Oryzias latipes: one gene and its partners. The main gene of each other region encodes a partner of the protein of the gene in region 3 in a complex. Links are inferred from orthologs where the notes say so. Each region holds a gene or a part of one and is shown on either strand. Other genes may lie near its edges.

Region 1 (7,105 bases), on a different chromosome or scaffold from region 3:
AAAGTATGTAGATTAAGTTTAGTCATTGGAAAATGAAAAATGCACACATTCTTTTAACCCTTGTGCTATCCTAGGCACTTTAACATTGGGAGTGGGGTCATCTAGACCCACTAGACAGTGCTCTGAACCTTTTTTCTTCAATGATTTGTGATCTTCACTGGTGTCCATGGATTACATGAAATCTTTCCACCTTTGTCATGGTAGGGAGAACATGTCAATGTAAGGGTGGGGTCATCTAAGATAGCACAAGGGTTACGGCCCTTCAAGTTTGAAGTACTTCCTTTTGTAGATTTTGATTTATAAAAGCTCTTTTGTACTTAAAGGCATTTGTCATTTTGACAAATCTAATCAAGTTAAGTATTCACTTAAAAGCAACATGAAGCTGGAAATCTGTATTAAATGTATTATTTCAAGATTCAAGAACAACTTTATTAATCCCCGAAGGGAAATTTAGTTGCAGTAGCAGCACTAAGGAAATAGGGGGGATAAAGACAGACACAAAATATACAGGGAAGAAAAAAGGAAAAATTGGAATAAAATAATAGTATAACTGTACAGTCTGTAACTCTAGAATTCTCATGTACATCCAAGTCTGCCAGATGAATTGTGGAGTCTAATGGGAGAAATGACTTCCTGTATCGTTCTCAGGCACAGCGGGGTTGTATAAGTCTTCCGCTGAAACTGCTTCTCAGGTTGTCCACCTACCTGAAGAGGGGATGGGAGGGATTGTCCATGATGGTCCCCAGTTTAGCCAGTAGTCTGTCCCCCACTACCTCTTCCAGATTGGCAGGCTTGAAGTCAATAACAGACCCTGCTTTTCTAATAAGTTTGTTCAGTCTGTTGGCGTCCTTTGCTTTGATGCCAGCACACTGCAGCAAAGAAGATGGTGCTCGCCATGACAGACTGGTAGAACATGTGGAGCATCCTACTGCAAACATTGAAGGACCTGAGTCTCCTCAGGAAGTAAAGTCTGCTCGTACCCTTCTTCTAAACCGCCTCAGTGTTTGTGGACCAGTCCAGTTTATCGTCTAGATGTACACCCAGGAACTTGTAGGACGAGACAATTTCCACATCCGTCCCACCGATACAGACTGGGGAGGGCGGAGACTTTCTCCTGCTAAAGTCAATCGCCATCTCTTTAGTCTTGGCCACGTTCAGCAGCAGGTAATTTTCCCCAGACCACCTGACGAAACACTCCACGAGGCTCCTATACTCCTCTTCCCGTCCATCTTTCACACACCCGACTACAGCTGTGTCATCCAAGTGCTTCTGGAGGTGACAGAGCTCAGAGTGGTACTGGAAGTCAGCTGTGTATGTGGTGAATAGGAAGAGGGACAGCACGGTTCCCTGAGGGGCTCCTGTGTTGCTTATCAGGGTGTCAGACACACAGCTCTGCAGTCTCACAAACTGAGGTTGACCTGTCAGGTAGTCCTCAATCCACGAGACCAGGGCTTTATTTATTTAATATTGGCTTTGTTGAAATTCTATGGTGTGTAAATGCAACATAAGCACACAATCTGTGAATTTGGTATAGAAATCAATCAAAAAACCTTAAAATTAATAAAACTGCAACGATATTTCTGAATTCATTCTCTTTATTGAAGCAATAGCCACATTTTACCACAATAGAATCTGGCATCTTTCTAGAAATCCGTTTGAACTCAGTTGTTTGAAGGCCTGTAAAGAGAATAAACAATGTTAGCACCAGTTTTAAAGCAATGTTTTAACACAAATACTTGAATGGGAGAAGAAGCTTACTTGGCCCATTCAACATTAAGAATAAGATGGTCATATCCAAATCCTGAGACCCCCGCGATGGCTCTGGCGGCATCCTCCCGACGATGGAAACTGATGAAGGCAAACCCCTGCAGGAAATGAGATGCAGCGTTAACTGGAGCGCGTCATTCGCTCATGAGAGCACACATCAACTGTCTATCGACATATTAATATCAGATGCAGACAGAAGGCAGCTCTCACCAAAAAGATCTTTTTGGCTTATATAAGTTAGGGTTAATAGTTGTGATTACAAACAGAACCATGATTGGGTTAAAGTAACCTATTTTCAGTTGAAACAAGCCTTCATAACTGATCTGTACTGCTTTTTTTGAAATGGCCTCTAACCTTGGACTGCCCTGTATTCTTATCCTTGGCCAGATAAATCCTTGAGATGGAGCCAAACGGTCTGAAGAGTTCCTGCAGGTCCGTCTCACGGGTGTCCTCCGACAGGTTGGTCACACGAATGGTTGCATTGTCATCAGCTGTGCAATCACATACAATTTCAAGGGATAAAGTTTTGCTGCTGAAAATAATTGTACATGTTTTGCCCTGAAGCCTCACCTCTGCGGTTGGGCTGCATGGACTCTCCTCTTCCCCGGCCTCCATCCCTCAGACTTGGAGGAACGTACTTCCCCGTCTTGCTTTGGGCGGGCTGAGCAGGCTCTGGTTCCGCTAAGGAAAGTAAGAGGAAGCAGGAGTCACTGGTGAGGTGTTTAGAAAAAAAAAATTCTCAAATAGTGTTTCTGAGAATAAAGAGCAAATGCTACCGGCGCCAGCGGGCTTTTCCTTGTCTCCGGTAGACAGTCCAAGCTGCTCAGCCAGCTCTTTCTGCATGGGGCCCAGGGTGTCCTTGTATGGACAGCGGGTGGTCCAGTGGTCGCCTTTACAAATACGACAGGACACAATCTTCTGTCCCTTTAGCTTGTTCATGGGATCCTCATCCTGGTCTTGAGCATTCAAATCCTGCAAAAAGCAAAATTAGTAAATCCACAAGGAAAGTTGGTTCACAACAATTAAGCAGAAAATAATATTTAATGCAAGTTATTACCTCTTTGCTGGAGATGAAAGTCATGAAGACATCATCACTGACTGTGGTGGTGGCAACATTTGGGCCAGGAGCATCAAACTCAGAGTTGCCAAACTTTTTCCAGTTCTGAAAAGAGTAAACTCACTGTTGCACAACAACCAATCCCACAAAAGTAATCCCAGTTTAAACACAACTCCACAAACCTTCCTCCTGGCAACGGCTTTTGATGCTTTCCTCGTCTCAATCTTAAAAGTCCGTACAATCTACAGAGATTGAAAAAGAATCCATGAAATAATTCAGTTGAAGCAGGTCATCACTTTAACCACTGTGGACATGCTGTTTACCTTATATTTCTTTCCATCTTCCTCGTCGATTTTATACTCTGTGATAGTTTTGATATTACCTCTAATCGTCTCCTTTGGGGAGGGAAGTGTGGCTGTCAATGACACAAAAACAAGTAGACAAATGAATTACAGCCTAAAAATTCTTAGAAGATATTTTAGGTCATTTAATTTTTTCAACTGGGTCTAAACAAAAAAATTAGTTCACAAAGCAGCTAATAAGTAATATGTTAATTTGTAACGAATCTTTGTATTGCGGTTTTTGTTTTTGGGTTGTGGTGATGCTAACATGTTTTATGAAAACAACAGAAGTAAATTTTGTATGCGTTTATAATGATTTATTAATTTAAAACCTAACAAGTAGAGGGCACAATAATATTTGGATGAATGGGCTACTTTTATCAAAATATTGTTAATAAGTTGTATTGCGCGTTTAACATAATTAATTACAAATATTTTGTATCTATAATTTGTGTACAGATGTTCCAACTACATTTTATCATTAAATTACATTGAATTACATGTTGAATTCACTACACACAACTGTCCCAATTTTTAACGGGATTTGCCAAAAGTCTCGGGACGGACATGAATTAAATGCGAGCCAAACACGAATATTTTGAATATTTGACATACTGCAAAATAATTAATTTGAGAGCAGTTACCGTCTCCTAACCTAACGGAGCTTGTTAGCTGCAAGCTTTTATGTTAGCCACATCGATGCTATTTTGACAACAGAAAATTTGCGCCAACAACCGTCCAACATGACATTTCTCTAAAACCTATTTCTTTTAAAATAAAAACAATTTTAACACGTGTATACGCAACGTTTTTCCCTGGATATATTTATTTTAAAAAGCAGACGAACACGTGGACATGAAGCCGGGTTAGCCGGCCTCCTTGAACCAAGCAGTGTTACCATAAATTAGCTTCAATGCTAACAGCTTTCTTTCTTACTTTCATCTACTTCCTCCTCGACTTGGTCGGCCCAGCTGGGCTTAGAGCTAAAATACAGAGAAGATAATCAACATTAAACCAGTAAAAAAGACATTTGTGACATATAAACACTGATGGAAAATCTAAATGACACTCACTCGTCGTACTCCACCGACGGCATCCTGCGTGTTAGCTTAGCTCGAGAAGGACCGAGCCGCGCCGAGAGCAGGTCGCTTCCGGAACTTAAACTTCAAAATAATAGCATAATAATAATAATAATAATAATAATAATAATAATAATAATAATAATAATAATAATAATAATAAAAGAAAAAACTTTTTCGCTACATGCATGGCACAAATCGGATTATAATCTGTTTTTTTTAATTGCCATCTGAATCTGATCAGTTATTGTCTGGTGATTGTAGTTCTCTGATTTTTCTAATTAAAAACAGATTTCTATTCGATAATTTGACATTTTCCTATGCGTTTATATACATTTTTATAAAGTGTTGAAATTTAATAAAAGCTACATAAAGAATAATTTATTAAAAAAAGACAATGAACAGATGATTGGCATTTAAACAAAAGACTTCAGAAGCGTGTAGTCTTTTATACACCTTAAAGCTCTGTTGGGCAACTCTGACAAGAATCAAACTGGATTATTATTTGTTATCTAAAGTTTGGATTCGTTTTGGGTTTTCTTCAAGTTGATAGATTTGTGCAATCGTGCATTGTTTCACATTTTTTTCCTACCAAATAGGTTTAGCCATCAGGCAATAAGTTTAGAATTTGACATACATTTTTGAGATAGTTGTAGCAGAACCACATCATATTTCATTTAACAATTTGATAAAATAAGTTGAATTTATCAACCTAAAATCAATTCAGACCACACTAGAAATTGTGTAAATGAAATAATTATTTATTCACTTACTTACAAAATCTATATGACAAAAAGAGAGGGATTTGAAGCAAGTTTGTTTTGTTCAGATGGAATTTATTTATTCTTTTAATCACTGATTCAACTATTTTAGAAACACATAATATATTAATTATGAAAAACTTTTACCTGAACATCTAATAACAAGTAAGAAATGATTGCACAAACAGCTTCATAACACAGAAACAGTTTATTTTAGACAGGTATGAACAGAAAAAGAAAAACGATTTGATGCATAACATGTGAGTGTCAAAGTTCAACATATGGAAGGCAAAAATATTAAAGAGTGTATATAAACTGTTATTGCAGATAAAACCTATAATTTACTCTTCCAGTCAGATAGAAAGTATTTTTTTTGACAAAAGCCACCAAAGCAGTACTTTCCCTGTCAATCAAAAACCCAACTAAAGTGTAATAGAACAAGAGACATTAAAACAATGGACACAAAACTGTATAAAAACATAGATTCAACAATAGAAAAGCATCATAAGCTATTGCAAGCCAGAGAGAGAGAGAAGGGTTCAGCTGTAAAGACATAAAGGGCTTCTTATTCCTGCATTCTGTCGTCTGAATCTTTTCCACAGCATGCCACTCTTATACTGTCAAACACGGCCATGTAGAGGATGGGATGGATGCACATGTTCAGAGTTGCCAGTCCCTTAGACACCTGGTACATGTTGTAGACCCAACAAACAGACAGGTTAGGAAAGTGTAACCTTTGGTACAAATGATAGACTTGAGCAAAGTGATACGGTACAAAGGAGATGCCATAAAGAAAGATCACCGATGAAACTAACAGGCCAACCTTGTACTTTTCTTGCTTTGTTATGTTGACATTTTTCCACACTACACGAATCACCAGAAAGTAAGAAGTGAAAGTCACCAGAAAGGGCACAAGGCAGCCAAACACGGCCAGGAATAGTTTGTAGATGAAGTGAGAGCTTGCATTATTAGAAACGTGGTCACAGAAAGACACACACAGAGTGTTGTTGTTGTCTTCATGCTGGCAAACAGATGCAAATTTCAGCACAGGTAGGGAGACGACTGCGACGATAGTCCATATGATGACGCTGGCGAGTTTGGCGTGGAAAGGCTCCACGTAGGAACGGTTAAAGAAAGGCCAAACGAGGGCCACACATCGGTTCACGCTGATGGCCATGATGAAGAAGACGCTCACGTATAGGTTGAGGATAAAAAGAAACCTCTCCATCTTACACACAGCATTCCCAAACATCCAGCGTTTCTCCAGTGAATAATAAACGATCAGGAGAGGCAGAGTTAGGACATACAGCAGGTCACTGATGGCCAGATTACAGGACAGGACCACACCTGGGTGCCAGTTCTTTCTTTCCTTGGTGAGCAGCAGAAACAAGGCCAACGCATTTCCCACAAGAGCAACGATAAACTCCACTCCATACATGGCAGGAAGCACGCCGATCTGAAACTTCTCGCAATCAGAGAAGTTCACCATCTTTCTCTACAGGTGATTGATCAATTGTGTGGAGGGCAGTGGCTGTGAAAGCATGTGAACAGTTTGATCAGCTGCCCTGATGTTTACTTGAACACATTTGAACACAAAAAATGAGATTTTGTGAAAAGGTAAAAGGTATCTTTTAAAAAAGATACAAAAACTTATCAAGAAACTTGTCAAAACAGGTTTCACTAAATCTATAAAAATGATGTTAACTTACCCAAAATGTGCTACAAACTGTATTTATCAAGGAGCGATGAAAGCAGTTCCTGTGTAGAAACTTAAGACTAAAGATATCGCTCGATTATCTCAAGTGTTGCATCTAGTGACACAAAAAAGCCTGAGTGTCATTTCCTCTTACCGACACATGCGTTTCACAATCTGACGAGGAACATGACCACTTCTGCCATCTGCACAAAAAAAGGCTATAAATACATTACGTTAGCCTTGACTCAGTTTTAAATCTAATATAATTTAAAATCTAGAATTCCATCCACAATTGTTGAGTTTTTTGACTGCGAAAGGTGAAAGAAGTGTTTTCATTGCCTGTTTTAACCAAATACATTTTTTGACTGTGTTCTATAAATAATTATGAACAGTGAAAGTTTTGA
Region 2 (7,098 bases), on a different chromosome or scaffold from region 3:
TGAATACCCCCCCACACACACACTCAGAGTTCCTGAACCGTCCTGTAAGTTATTTTAAACCATGAGGACCCCCCCTCCCCCTGTACATGTATGAATGTGAACCTGCAGACGTTGGTGAGTGAATGTTTTTATATTTTCTATTGTTCTACATAAAGATTGAAGCCACTTTCTGAGCCTCAGTGTCTTTAAGGGTCCGCCCCACTTTGGGGGAGGGGTGGGGTTTTCTAACCCAGATCAGTGATGGAACAAAGGACACAGCAGTCACATGGTCTTCTGTCGCTCTTTATTCTGAACTGAAACGCTGTTGGAGGGGGGGAGGGCCTCCTGTGGGTCACGCCTCCAGTTCAAAGTCAAAGTACTGAGGGTCAAAGTAATGAATCCGGACGTAGCCGTCTTCTCCTCCACTGCTGTAGCTGCAGACAGACACGGGGGTCAGCTCAGACCCTTCAGAACACCCCCCCCCAAACCAGAGCCAGGTTACCTTTTGCCATCAGGATGGAAAGCTACGCAGTTGATTGGACCAAAGTGACCTTTGACCCTGCCAAACTCCTCTTCATAGGCTGCATGGAAGAACCTGGAAGAGGCAGAGATTTCAGCAAACATCACTCAGCTCTGGGGTTTCTCCTTATCATGGGGTCTCAAAATGCGGCCCGGGGGAAGACTTTTTGTGGCCCTCAATTCCCTAATTGATGGTTATTAAACCAGCTGTCGACTGCTAGGAAAAATATTTTGTGATTTCTGGCAACATCTGCAGGAAAAAATGGTAATCAGAGCTGGGTGTCAGCGGTACAGTGTATTCATTTCACCACAAGGGGGCAGACATGTTCTATGTCACTGCCTCTGTGAAAGGAAAGACCGTGAAGACGGCAGTAGAAATGGAATCAGAGCGGGATTCTGAGAGCCAGAGCAGGTTCCTTAAAGGAAAAACGTGTTGGCGAGGAGAAAAGGCGCTATCAAGCTAAGTGGACAGATGCTTACTTTGTCGTACCTCATTGGCTGGATAAAGTCATGTGCCGTATTTGCACGTATCTGCAATGCTCCAAGAATTCGATAAAATAGTCAATGTTATAAATCATAAACTATAACAAATTTACTGGCGAGGAGGACAACAATAATCTACATCAACTACGACGAGGATAAGCTGCAGACCAGATGTTTACAAAATGGCTACATCCAGTTAAGCTGTGACAAACTAGCTACATTGTGGCTTTGGAAATGGCCCAGCATAGCAAGCCCTTCAGGGACGGGGAGTTTGTAAAAGAATAAATGCTGAAAGTAGCTGTTTGTCCAGAGCAAAAGAGTCTGTCAAATGATACAAATACTAGACGAGTAGAAGATCTGGACAGCAACCTCCAACCTCAACTGGTAAAACATCTGGAGGGCCTGGTTACCGTAATTTCTGGATTATAAGCGGCTACTTTTGTCCCCGTGTCCAACGGCCACTAGGGGCGCTGGAGCATAAAGAGTAAGAGTGAGACGGGGGAATACAGTATGTGTGAGGAAGACGCAAGTTTAATGTAAATTCCTGTTTTGTGAATGAATAGCAGGAACAGACTCATCATGGAAAATGCAAGAAGAAATGCAGATGACACAGCTTTCAAGTTAAAAGCAGTGTGAAAAAATCCACCATCACCAACGGGTTTGGAAAAGCCGGTCTGCTGCGTGACGGAGAGGACAGAGCAAGAACAGGAGACAATTTACCTCAGAGTGACACTGATGACAATGAAGGAGAGAGAGAGTGGTGAAGAATATCTGACGCTATTCCAATCCCACACTGAGGAGGAAGACTTCCATGGTTTCAGTATTTACTGCTGCTCTCAGTGACTTTTACTGGTATGTTTTTTTTAACCAGCCCTGTTAGTGCTGTTACTACTATATTGTTGCCGCGTCACATGTACTGTTTGGAATAGAGCTGTGACGGTGTGGGACTTTTCATCACCGCAGTGATGAAGCAGCAGGAGTTGCGGTGTCGTGGTTTGGCCCTCCGCTACAAAAACTGTGAGAACCCCAGCTCTTGGATGTTGGGTTCTTCCAGGCTGAAAACGTTTCTCTCCGTTCTGATGGAGACCACGCTAATGTGGATCAACTCTTCCTGCTGAAGGTGCGTTTGTGGCTTCACGACTGACTGACGTTCGGCTCAGACTCACCTGGCCTCAAACTTGCCGATCCTGGTGGAGGTGGTGGTAACGTCCATGGCTTCCTGTCCTCCTCCCATCACAACCTGAGAGGAAATGTGCGTCACTGACCTGCATCCACCTGATCTCTTTCAAACTTGGAGGAGGGGTTCTTACGTGGTCTTTGATGGGGGAGATGGCAGCAGAGTTGACCGGCCTCTCTGTCCTGAAGGTTTTGATGTTTTCTAGAGAGGTGGAGTCAAACAGCTAAAAGAAACAAACATTCAGAGTTGATTTGAGATTCCTCAGAACAGTCACTTCAGCAGCGGAGCGGTCGTTACTTTGGCAGAGTTATCCTTGGAGGCGGTGATGACCATGGTCAGATCCACCGAGGACTGGATGTCATTGATCTGTTTGGTGTGCTCCTTGACCTTCTTCAGGGCCTCTCCAGACTGCTCACAGGGAAACGGCACATGAACCAGTTTCACTTCAGAAAGAATCCACACACAGGTCTGAAGGCTCTAACCTTAGCGCTGAACTGGCTGATCTCGCCGTTCTCATGGCCAGCGATGACAAATTCGCCCAGCGGCCCCCACACCGCGCTGGTTATCTTCGATTCGTTGCAGGGTACGGACAAGTACGGGTTGTTGTCCTCTGCAGACAGAATGCTTCAGTCATGATTCATTACTTTCCTAGCAGCTTTTCAGAAGCTGAACATCCAGCTTCACTGTGGAGGGGGATGAAGACGCAGCAAACTAACGGGGACGTCAAACTCCAGGCTCCTGCTAACTTCACATACCTATCTGCTGTGGGTCCCTCAGGTCAAAGAAGTTCAGGTAGCACTGGTAACCCATCTGCTTGTCAGTAGAGAACATGATGATGTTCCCGCTGAAGTCGAACCCACATGTCCTGACGGCAGAGCTGGTGTTGAGCAGCGCCAGCTGTTTACCTGTGAGCAGGAGACACGGTTCTGTTTGAATGTGAGCTCATAGAACTGGCTCACACCACAGACCCATTTGGATTTTACGGACCGGTCTCGCAGTCCCACAGCCGGCAGCTGTTGTCTGCTGATCCTGTTAGAACGTTCTTCGTGTCCCCTGAGAAGGCGTGTTAAGAAACTGCCCGCGGCCTCAGGAGTTAGCATGCACACCATTCATCCTCACAGGAGGAAGGATACAGTCGCAGTCCACGCACCATACCGCCCCCGTGTGTCCGTTGTACGTGCCGAGCCTCTCGCCGTTTACGGAGTACCACGCATTTGCAACCTGCAGGGACACAAGTCAGTGAGTCCGAAACACCTGGAGATGGGGGGGGTGGCGGGGGGTGAGGGCTCACCGTGTCTTTAGCTACAGAGAAGAGCAGGTCGCCCTCTCTGTTGTACTTGATTTGAGTGATGGACCTCTCGTGGCCCTGCAGCAGGATGGGTTTCTGCCAGGAAACGTCACAAAACCTTTAGTTTGAGCGTTAGACAGTCTGCACAGCAGCACCACAAAGGTTAACCTTCATATCTTTAGTAACCAATCAAAAACAATTGCCAGCTGATCAACCAGCCTGCAGGAAAACAGTCACATCCCTTTGTTTGTTTTCAGACCCATGAACATATTTAAGTCCTTCAGTCCCAGAATCTAACTATGACGTCATCAACAGGGAGATATAATGTGGTCTTCAGTAAAAACAAATCCAAGAAACCCTTATTTTTCTAATAAAAACTATTAATTGGTTCAGTTTCTGAGATTTTGGCTGAACTTGTATTGATATTTAATAGTTCATGACATTTGGTCTAATTATTGCAGTTTAGGGTAAATTGTTTGATTTATTGGTGCTTTTTGTAGTTTATAATCTTTTAGTTTTTTAAAATTGTACAAAATCATCAGTTACAGCGCGTAAACCTCCGATTTTGGCCTAAAATAAAAACATTCTAAAGAAATAAAAATGATTTCTATTCTTTCTCAGCCTCACCGACAGCATGAGTGCTGCTAGCAAGCACGACACCGGCTAACTGCGGAGCTAAGCTAACCAGAGGCCAAATACAAAGCAAACATGGCCGAAACACAACAAAGCTTCAGAAAAGCCACAACTGACCATTTCTGTCAGCCACACGGCCCCAGTAAGTCCGACAAGAGGTACTTAGCTTCAGACGAAAAGAGGAAAGGGGGACTCTCGTGTTTTCAGGCGCCCTGGAATTGCACCGGAAAAGGAATGCTTGTGTCACTAACCAAAGAACTTCCGGTAGACACGTCGCCCCCTGGCGGCGTTACCAATAATGACAACCAACACGACTATCTGGACGAGAAGAGCAGCACACCTTTATCATTCTCTGCGGGAGTGTCACGTGTAACATTTTCCATGGCTTTAATTTTTGATATATTTTTACTTTTTATCTTCTTTAAAAGGATTTTGAACAGAAAACCAAACACAGGGAAAATCCAGAAGAGCTTCTGTGTGAAATCTGAACCAACACTTTGATGCTTCGTGTTTTCATGACTTGTTAAAAACACAAACAGAAAAGAAATGTCACATTCTAGGCCACTTAAATGTTCAATGTTCCTCAAGAGTCACAGTGTACATTTTGAGAACAAACGTAGGCTACATTTGAATAAAATATACTAACCCTAATTTACGTTACAATTTTTTTTCCGTAAATTTACGGCTTTAAAGTGAAACCTGTTTGTGTTTGTAAACTGAATACCGTCATAGTTACCAAATTTTAAAAATACTTTTTTGCAACAGCTGCTGTTTTACGTTTTCATTTTCGTCCTTTTTGTGTGTCCAGCGTTTTCTTTGGCAATAACAGTTAAAAAGTTTTAAAAAATTGTCAATACAGTTGACATTTTTGCGTGATACAGATACTGCCATGTTGGAACCAGACATCGTCAGTAAACAGTAGGTCCAAGTCAATCTGAGTCAATGTTTCTATAGCAACCACTTAAAATTTAGCCTGTTGGAAGGCCACGCCCCTTCCACTTGAAAGCCGGCTAGACAAAAGGTCGTGTTTGGGATAAACCAGCGCCTCGCCTGGATCGTCAACGAGACCAGTCGGCTGCATGCGGGGAAAGGCGTCTGGGATGAAGGTGAACCACAGACTGTAAAAGCATTGGACGAATGGCGTTGTGACATCACCCATAGGAAAAGCCGTACCTCCGGCTCTCACGAAAGGAGGCCACATCCCTCACCATTGCTACCTGATACGAGCGCCGCCATGTTGAAACCAGTCGACAGTGGTTGGTCCGATTCTCTCCGAGTCATCGTATCTATGGCAATGGTGACAGTGGTTGCCATAGATACAATGACTCAGAGCGACTCGGACTGTCGACTGGTTACAACATAGTGGCCACTGTATCAGGTAGCAATGGTACTTCCTATTTGGGAACATGAGAAGGAAGGGGTTGAGACCATTGAGTTCTATCGCTAGAGGAGACATCACGGGGTTCCACATAGGAGGAGAGCACCGCCATCTTGGTGAGGTCAAGTCACTGCAGCACTGCATGCATGTGAACACATTTTTTGCAAAATGCCAGTTCATTGTGCGGGTTTCAACTCCCAGAATCAGAGAAATGAGTCCATGAAGGAGGAAGGCAGAACATTTCACAGGTAGGTACTATAATTTTTTTCTTTTAATGCTGCAGGGGCTTCATTAATAAAACACAGGTTTTTTTTTTAATAGTACACATGTTAACATGCATGATGCTGCAGGGCTATTATCAACATGTAGGGATGATGGATGAATAATTTACTGTCGACATAAATGTAAACTTTATTTTGTTAACCCCACATACAGGATACTAGGACTAGGCTATTATTGTTATATAGCCTGTTTTGTAATGTATGTAGCATATTTTTAAAATTATCAATAGGTATTTTAATTATCATAGTCTTATTGCATTTTCCTGTATATCCTTTTCATTGTTATTTTCAATCGTTGTGACAAATTGTTCTTTTTAACTTTTAAGCTAGTAAATTTTACCATCTGTCCGGGGAGAACGGAGGGAAAAGAGCCACCGGGCTGATTCTGGCTCATTGCGGTGATGCTTGTGCACTTTTTCTTGAGAAGTATACAAAATTCAAATAAAAGTTAACCTTTAAAGGCAACAATAAAACACAGATTATTTGTGATGCCTGTACTTATGACTTCTTTTTGTTGCATAAATGCAACAAAATAATTTCGGCCTGTCATTTAGAACCAAAATGATTATCAGTAGAAAACAAGAATTACATATTTCAAATAAAATAACTTCTAATGATAAAGTAATCTGAGTGATGTTGATTTCAATGACCATTTGTAGAAAATAAATCTTGTCAATTTTTTCATCAGTGATTCACTATTTACAGAAAGTTACATAATACGCCAGCAGTTTCTGTTTAGCATCCCTTTAAACTATAAGAAAACAGTTTCCCACAATGCATTTAGTTTTTGTAGTTATCAGGCGGGCCAGGCGATAACTTGGCGTGTTTGAGGTCACCCTGGTGCGCGGTGTATGCTGGTTAGTCTGCCTGGGTGATCTCAAACACGCCACGTCGCCACCAGTGAGGCTTCTGATTGGTCCGTTTATAGCTTCAATAACTTGCAATAAAGAAAACAAACTGGATCATTAATAAAACGTTTTAGACAAAAAGGTATCGGATCAAGAATGGGTAAGTCTGCACAATAGAATGACTGAGTAACAGCTGTTTATTTCTCCATAGACGTCTATGGGAGTTTGGCTCCCTGGAACCAGCAGGTACTTCCTGTTTGGAACGCCAGGGGCGGGGGTCACTCAGTCCAGTTCTCGTTTACAGTCAATGGGGCGGCCCCCAATGAGCTCACAGAACCCCCTCCACCAAAGACCAAAGAGTTCAAAAAACAAAACAGCAGTTGTTCAATACTTTTTTCCATTTGATAAGTTTTACTGTTTTTTTATTTTAATTTTCAGTGTTTCTTCAATTTTAAAATACATTTTTTTCGTTCATTTTCAATATTTCGTTTAAGTTTTGCATCCTTTTTGTA
Region 3 (6,557 bases):
CACCAAATCCAAGTCCCTGAAAGGTCAAAGTTCAACCTGGTTTAACTGGTAACACATGTTCAATGGCCATGGGTTTTGTACGGAGAGCCTGAAAAAGGTCGTAAAAACGTTCATAGCTACATGTAAATGCAAGAATCTTGAACTCAGAAAAACCTGAAACGCATGTTCACATGTGTTTCCATAGACTTTTCATTGGAAGTAGCTGCTTGAACACGTGTTGCAGAGAGGGGTGTGAACGTAGCTTTTTGTAGAAGCTCATCGGTTCAGTTTGGTTTCAATTGTAAAGCAACTAACTTGATGCTGATGCACTGGTGAATTCTGCAGAAGGTCTCAAAGATGAAGAGTCGGGCATTTTCAATGAAGTCCTCCAGGCAGGCAACCAAGAAGAAGTCGTTCACAAGAACCTGAAAAACAAAAACAAATGATGTGGCAAAGGCTCATGCTAAATTCACAGAATGTCTCTTTGAAAAGTTGAAGGTTGAACTAAGATAAACTATTTAATTAGAAAACTACAGCCGGGACAATCACAAGTTTCAATGCGTCATTTGTCTTTTTGAACAAAATATTTAGAGGAAACAAATCTTTTGTTATTAAATGATTCATGTTGCCCAAGTTTCAACACTTTAAGGCCCGCTGTGCTTTAAACAGCCATGTGAACCACAGAGCATTTTGTTTTTTAAATGAAATATCACCATATGCGTTAGATTTAAAATGGGTTTTAAGTTTCTTTAGACAAAACAAATTGAGTTTTTCCCCCCTAAAGGCTGAGGCATCACCACTAGCTGTTAAAAACCAATCATTAAATAAAAATCAATCAAGAACTAGAATGATAAACTTAAAGAAGGCAGAAGGTCTGTGCGTTTATCAGTACACACATCACTTGAGCCACCTAACAACAAAAACTCCTGACTCGGACTCATTGACATTCTGTAAATGTTGGTGACCCAGCTGGTGCCTCAGAGGTTCGATTGTGCAAAATGTTCACTTTCTCAGCATTTGCTGCATTCCAACTCACTTAAAGAGCAATTTCCCATCACAGACCCCCATTTTGAAAAGTATGGAAGAATTACCAGCTCTTTGTTTAAGCTTAAGCAGCTCTTATCAGACCAGAGTTTTGGTCGAATACCTCCAAACGGCATCAAACTACAACATTATCAAGCAACACACATTTGAGCTTCAACACTGCTTATCTTACACTGATAAACTTTAAACAGCTAAGTACTCTAATTATTGTCATCTTGGTTTAAGGCCACATTCACACAAATTTTGGCTTGAAGAGTTATTTTGTGTGCAATCTAAGGGCCTAACTATTGGTAGCCTCTACTTCTCGCTCCTTGACGTGCCTTCATCTGACATCTGACAATGATTTCAGAAACCAGAAGAGTGGGAAAAGAAGAAAAGGGAACCTGTAAAGCCCAAACAGAACAATTTGGGTAGAGCTAAGCATCCCATTAGAAACACATGAGTTGAGCCATTTCAGGGTGGGGAGCAAACCAAAGTCACAAGAGCTTAAAAATAAAAACCCAATTCTTGTTTTTGCAGCCATCTTCATCATAAAAAAGACGAGTGAAACTCTTTTAAAATCTGTGTTCATCACAGAGACGTAACCTGTGTACGTTAACCACTGAAAAAAAAATGTCTTTGCTACCTTCTTGTCAAGCTTTGATGTGAATAATAGATGCTTCTGGACCTCAACCAAGAAACACTTAGGACAATGTTCATCCTTGCAGGCCATTACAGGAAATCCATTGAAAAGGGGCTGTTAAACATTCTGGAAACCACCCGACTCTTTAATCCTTCAAGACCGCAACTTTAGCTCTGGTGCTGACACTCTTTGAACCAGCGCAACTCTTCGACTTTTTACACAATTAACATATTTCCAACAGAACCGGAAGCTGCTTTTCTTTGCTTAAGAATCATTGCTTTACGTTAATTGTGTAAAGGTCAAAGAGTTATGACGGCCTGATGAAGAAAAAGACGAGGTTCATAGCAGTTTATGGTCTCTAATGGATCTGCTACAAGTAAGCCTAAAATATGAGAGGCAAGAGCAATATTTACCAATTTGTGTAAGATACTGTAAAATATGATGTCTTTACCAATGAAGCTGTTTTTAATCTCTTTTAAATAAACCTAAAAACACAAAAACAATCCAGAAATGGGTTTGTTACAACAGGTTTTCTGCCCTCAGTAGTAAAAGTCACCACATTGACTCTGTTCAGCTTTGTCCTTCACAAACAAAAAGAACCTTTATCCTGCACTACTCGAGTTCTATTTTCACATCAGGGATCAGGGTTACATTTGACCTTTACAGACCACAACTGAAATAAGCAGAAACAAGTGTCTGCGGAGACTTTTGCTTAGAAAGCTCTGACTGTTAACTACTGGCCTCATGGGTCAACGACAAGCCAAGCAGAAGCTGACTAAAGCCTGAGTCATACAGGAGACCGTCCTATCTGCCAGTGCGATACAAGACACAAACTGCGGCTGTTCTGTCTTCATCTGACCCACAGGGACAAAGGCACGGGGCCAGAGAAATCACCATTACTACCATGTTTACCACAAAGTTCACTGTTAAAACTTCAAAGACATGACCCACAAAACAGATGTTCTCAAAGGAGCTTGACTTTGTTAGGGAAAGGAACAATAAACAAGACCATCTACTTCTGATTGGACGGGAGTTAAACGGCAGAACGAAAAGTGAAAAGACTACTCACCGACTCGCATTCTCTGAGCTTCTTCTGGGCACTGTCAAAGTCAAAATTCACGTACAGACACTCCACAAACTCAGTGATTGGATCTTTGTAGGTGTAAGACTCCTAAAGAAACAAAAACAGTTTTTTTTCAGGGATGTCTCCATGTATCCCAAATCATGTAAGTCACTACTGAAACAAAAAGAAGTTCTGGACTAATTGCAGCAAAACAGAAGTTTTTTCCCCCTTTTTTCCCCTTTACAAAGTAAAAAAAAGAAAAGAAAAGACAGTGTTTTGTTTTAATTAAATTGCCAACAATAATAACACAGACAACATGACAAATGATTTGCACACTGGCTACAAAGGCTAATTCAAATAGGCTGAGTGAAAACACTCTGTGATCTTCAGACAGTTTCATCAAAGCGGAAAGAGTGACTTCCTCGCCAACCCAAGGTCACCAGGAGGAGAACACAGAGTCCATCTTTTAGTCATTCATTTTAGTAAAAAGCAACAAGCTTTGATCTCTGAAGTCCCTCTGTCACTGGTCAACAAGTAATGGGCATAGAACATAAAAGTCAGGTGGTTCCCCGCCATTCATCAGAAGTAATTGTTCAGAGACGTTGCCAGCAAGGCTGAAGCTCTAAGATACACCTGCTGTGCTTGACAGGAAGGGCTGGACGCTTCCTGTTCCTTCAGACCCTAATAAACTCAGACTATTTCAGCACCTGATGTTTGAAAAAGAAAGTCTGTTACCTGCTGTATGACCTTCACTAAATCCTTCAGAACCTGCCGGCGCTTACGCACATCCTTGTTTGTGATGACCGCTGTGGTTAGGTAACGCAAGATGTGGGGGCACATTGTCTGGATAGCATTGAGATATCTGAAAATGGGCAGACGAAAAAGTATTCACTTAATAGAGCAATGTTAGCAAAGACATGATCTTTACAAAGACACATATATAACATTCTGGCTGCCTGTCAGGGCCCTGGCATTTGGGATTGGGGAAAATACTTTGCAGCTAAACAGATACATTTTCCAGCAAGACCTTCATCTCTGCAGCTTAAAGCTTTCTCTTTCATTAGTCCTGTGAGAAAGGGGGGAGGAAGAGGAAACCCTGGCAAGGGGATATAGCTCTTGAGCAGGGACCTGCCCGGTAGCAGAAACTTAATCCATGAGGGACTGATGCTCCAACCACAGGTCAACTTGCTAAAGTCTGAAAACAAGAAACACAATGCTGTTACAGGCGGATTCTAATCCCACACTTATTTCAGAAAGAGGATCCTGTACAAACATGCAACGCCAGCACGCAAAATCCACTTTACTTGTCAGGATGGTCGTAAATGTACATTACCTGCGTCACCAGAGCGGTTCTTTAAATATGTGACCACATCTGATCAGAAATAAGGAAGTGGGCCCCTTAAGGTCTCTCAAAGCTATGGCCAGAGGAACACATGGCGCTCAAAGCAACCGTCCTGACAACAGTTTAATTAGCCGGATCAATTAGAGGGACAGGGTCCTGTGGTAGCTGTGATGTTGAGTCTAAAAACAGCAGTGGGCTACATGGCAAAGCCCGTCACCGGTCTCCTTTTAGGAGAGCTCCCTCCTTCTCTTTGTAGTTGTTTGACTTTTAAGGAAGACCACAATGCTTCATGCTGTGTTCCTGATTAACTTACACCTACACACTACTGGGGCCTCAAATAAGGGATCCGGCGGGAGTCCCCGCATCATGTGCAGTTAGACGGTTTTCACTGTAGCCCTGCTTCAATGGGATTTGCTCAGAAATATCGAATTTTTCTCTGAGTATAAGTCAGAGTTTTTCACATAGTTTGGCCAAGGGGTGCGACTTATAAGTGTTTTTTTTTACAAATACATATGCGCCTGTGTTTTACAAATACATATGCGCCTGTGTTTGTTATTTTCCTATCAACAACAACTAGAGGGCACTGCAGTTGATGGAGCAGTATTTGCTACTGACAGGAACCCAGAACAAGAAGCTCCGTTCATTCTTAAGGCCCGTACACACCGGGACGAATTTTCGCCAGCCGTTATTCGCCAGCGGTTTTCAACACGTTTTTTGTGTTCACACCCAGGCGAATTTCGCTGACGATGAGCCGAGCGAACATGCAATTTCATTCCCTGACATTAGATGGCGCTTAATGTAAAACAGAAATACTCCTGTACACAAGGTGGCGCTGCGCAACTTTACGCTTCTTAAAGTCGCTTTTCACTCAGAAGAAGAGAGCAAGTATTTACGTGCTTGTCAGAATCATACAAAGAAAACATGAATATTTCAAGCATCAGTTGCTCCAGCTCCAGTTCCAGCGATGAAGAAATGATTGTTCTGTTGAATGATGAAAGACGTCGGAAAAGACGTCGATTTTGGGAACATCCCATAGTTACGAGAAGAGAAGAACATGGGGAGTTTTATCGACTGGTACAAGAGCTGAAAATGTATGAGCGTTTTCGGGGATTTTTAAAATGTCCGTCAGTGAGTTGCATCTTCGTCTTATTTCTTCGCGGCAGTGTTGACGGTACTTGGCGTGTATCTTCTTCGCCGTGACGTATGTGTGCTCAGCAAGACAGTTTTGTGTTTGAGCACCCCCAAGTTGTGTTTTACTGTAACTTCAGAAGCTCCAGACACGTGTGCAAAAGCGCCATTCTCATTGGTCGAATAGTCTTTGACGCGGCGGGTCAAACCAAAAAAACAAACCCGAGGCGTTTTTTTAAAAATGACGCTTTTACGCGTGGCGTTTTTCGCGTCGGTGTGCACACTCACATTGGTGCCCTTTGTTTAGTCACGAGGTGTTCAACGTCGGCGAATATCGCGCGCGAAATTCGGCCCGGTGTGTACGGGCCTTTACAGTGGGCTCTGCAGAAGTGATATAAAGAGCTTAGTTGACTTGTTAGCATGTTCTTTATGTGATGGGTATTTGAATAATTGTTCATATGTTGTGCCAAAATACTAGATTCCTCTTGTGTTTTATGAATCTAAATAAGCATCAATGTTTTACGGTAGTGAAGTGTGCATATATTCAGTCTATTCTTCTTGTCTATTCTGTTGATATGATTTGCCTTTCAAGATGAAATGTCTGTTCTTGGTCCCGTATTTTATACATTGCTCCCAAAAGTTTAACTTATACTCCAGTGCCACCGGTCTAGGATTTTTTCTTTTGTTATGAATATTTTGGTATCTGCGACTTAAACTCCAGAGCCAAAACTACAATACTATGGATCACCACAAGGAGTCTGGAGGAGAATAAAAAAACAAAAAAAAAAAAAAGGTCCGTTATTTCCGGACTATGGAGCGCACCTGATTATAAGCTGCAACCATAACATTTTTTAAAGGATGAAACATTTTGTACATACAAAAGCCGCACCTGTCTATAAGCCGCATGTGCCCACATTGAAACATGTGTTGTTGATTGAGGATGTGCTGAAATCTTGCGCTGCGTGTGTAAGAAAGAGGAGGGAGCGGTAAAAGCGGAGCGAGGGGAGAACTCGTGAAGCGCAAAAGGGAGGCTCCTTCCTCTTACACACAGCTCGCTGACACACATACTCATTCTACAACACCTATAGAATTAGTTCATTAGATAGCTAGTAGTTACTGTTATTTGTTAATAAAGAATACTGTGTTGTAATTATTACTCGTACCGGTATTCATTTGCGAAACGGCCGTTGGGGGATTTTGTGATGGGGGTAGGGCGCGGACCACAGCACTGCAGCTCCTGCTGCTTCATCACAGAGGTGTTCAAAAATCCCACACCGTCACAGCTCTATTCCAAACAGTGCATGTGACGCGGCAGCAATATGGTAGTAACAGCTCTAACAGGACTGGTTAAAAAAAGCATACCGGTAAAAGTCACTGAG

What was found.
Region 1: eif3e (region 3) and eif3g share a complex: the UniProt entries of both Homo sapiens proteins name them as parts of the eukaryotic translation initiation factor 3 (eIF-3) complex. The link is inferred for Oryzias latipes from reciprocal best matches to the Homo sapiens genes EIF3E and EIF3G.
Region 2: eif3e (region 3) and eif3i share a complex: the UniProt entries of both Homo sapiens proteins name them as parts of the eukaryotic translation initiation factor 3 (eIF-3) complex. The link is inferred for Oryzias latipes from reciprocal best matches to the Homo sapiens genes EIF3E and EIF3I.

The regions. Positions count from the first base shown.
Region 1 is NC_019866.2:8,455,191-8,462,295, forward strand, and holds eif3g (eukaryotic translation initiation factor 3 subunit G), read right to left. Parts: upstream 4,338-7,105; 5' UTR 4,262-4,337; coding exon 4,239-4,261; intron 4,149-4,238; coding exon 4,102-4,148; intron 3,240-4,101; coding exon 3,148-3,239; intron 3,067-3,147; coding exon 3,007-3,066; intron 2,930-3,006; coding exon 2,825-2,929; intron 2,740-2,824; coding exon 2,544-2,739; intron 2,449-2,543; coding exon 2,338-2,448; intron 2,259-2,337; coding exon 2,122-2,258; intron 1,866-2,121; coding exon 1,759-1,865; intron 1,678-1,758; coding exon 1,662-1,677; 3' UTR 1,578-1,661; downstream 1-1,577. Other genes in the region: suppressor of SWI4 1 homolog, read right to left, coding at 5,571-6,500. UniProt on the Homo sapiens protein: RNA-binding component of the eukaryotic translation initiation factor 3 (eIF-3) complex, which is required for several steps in the initiation of protein synthesis.
Region 2 is NC_019869.2:26,645,020-26,652,117, reverse strand, and holds eif3i (eukaryotic translation initiation factor 3 subunit I), read right to left. Parts: upstream 4,338-7,098; 5' UTR 4,200-4,337; coding exon 4,197-4,199; intron 3,543-4,196; coding exon 3,450-3,542; intron 3,380-3,449; coding exon 3,292-3,379; intron 3,212-3,291; coding exon 3,146-3,211; intron 3,064-3,145; coding exon 2,914-3,063; intron 2,769-2,913; coding exon 2,641-2,768; intron 2,567-2,640; coding exon 2,456-2,566; intron 2,382-2,455; coding exon 2,292-2,381; intron 2,222-2,291; coding exon 2,148-2,221; intron 575-2,147; coding exon 482-574; intron 414-481; coding exon 332-413; 3' UTR 265-331; downstream 1-264. UniProt on the Homo sapiens protein: Component of the eukaryotic translation initiation factor 3 (eIF-3) complex, which is required for several steps in the initiation of protein synthesis.
Region 3 is NC_019874.2:3,402,318-3,408,874, forward strand, and holds part of eif3e (eukaryotic translation initiation factor 3 subunit E), read right to left. Parts: intron 3,571-6,557; coding exon 3,444-3,570; intron 2,817-3,443; coding exon 2,715-2,816; intron 405-2,714; coding exon 295-404; intron 1-294. UniProt on the Homo sapiens protein: Component of the eukaryotic translation initiation factor 3 (eIF-3) complex, which is required for several steps in the initiation of protein synthesis.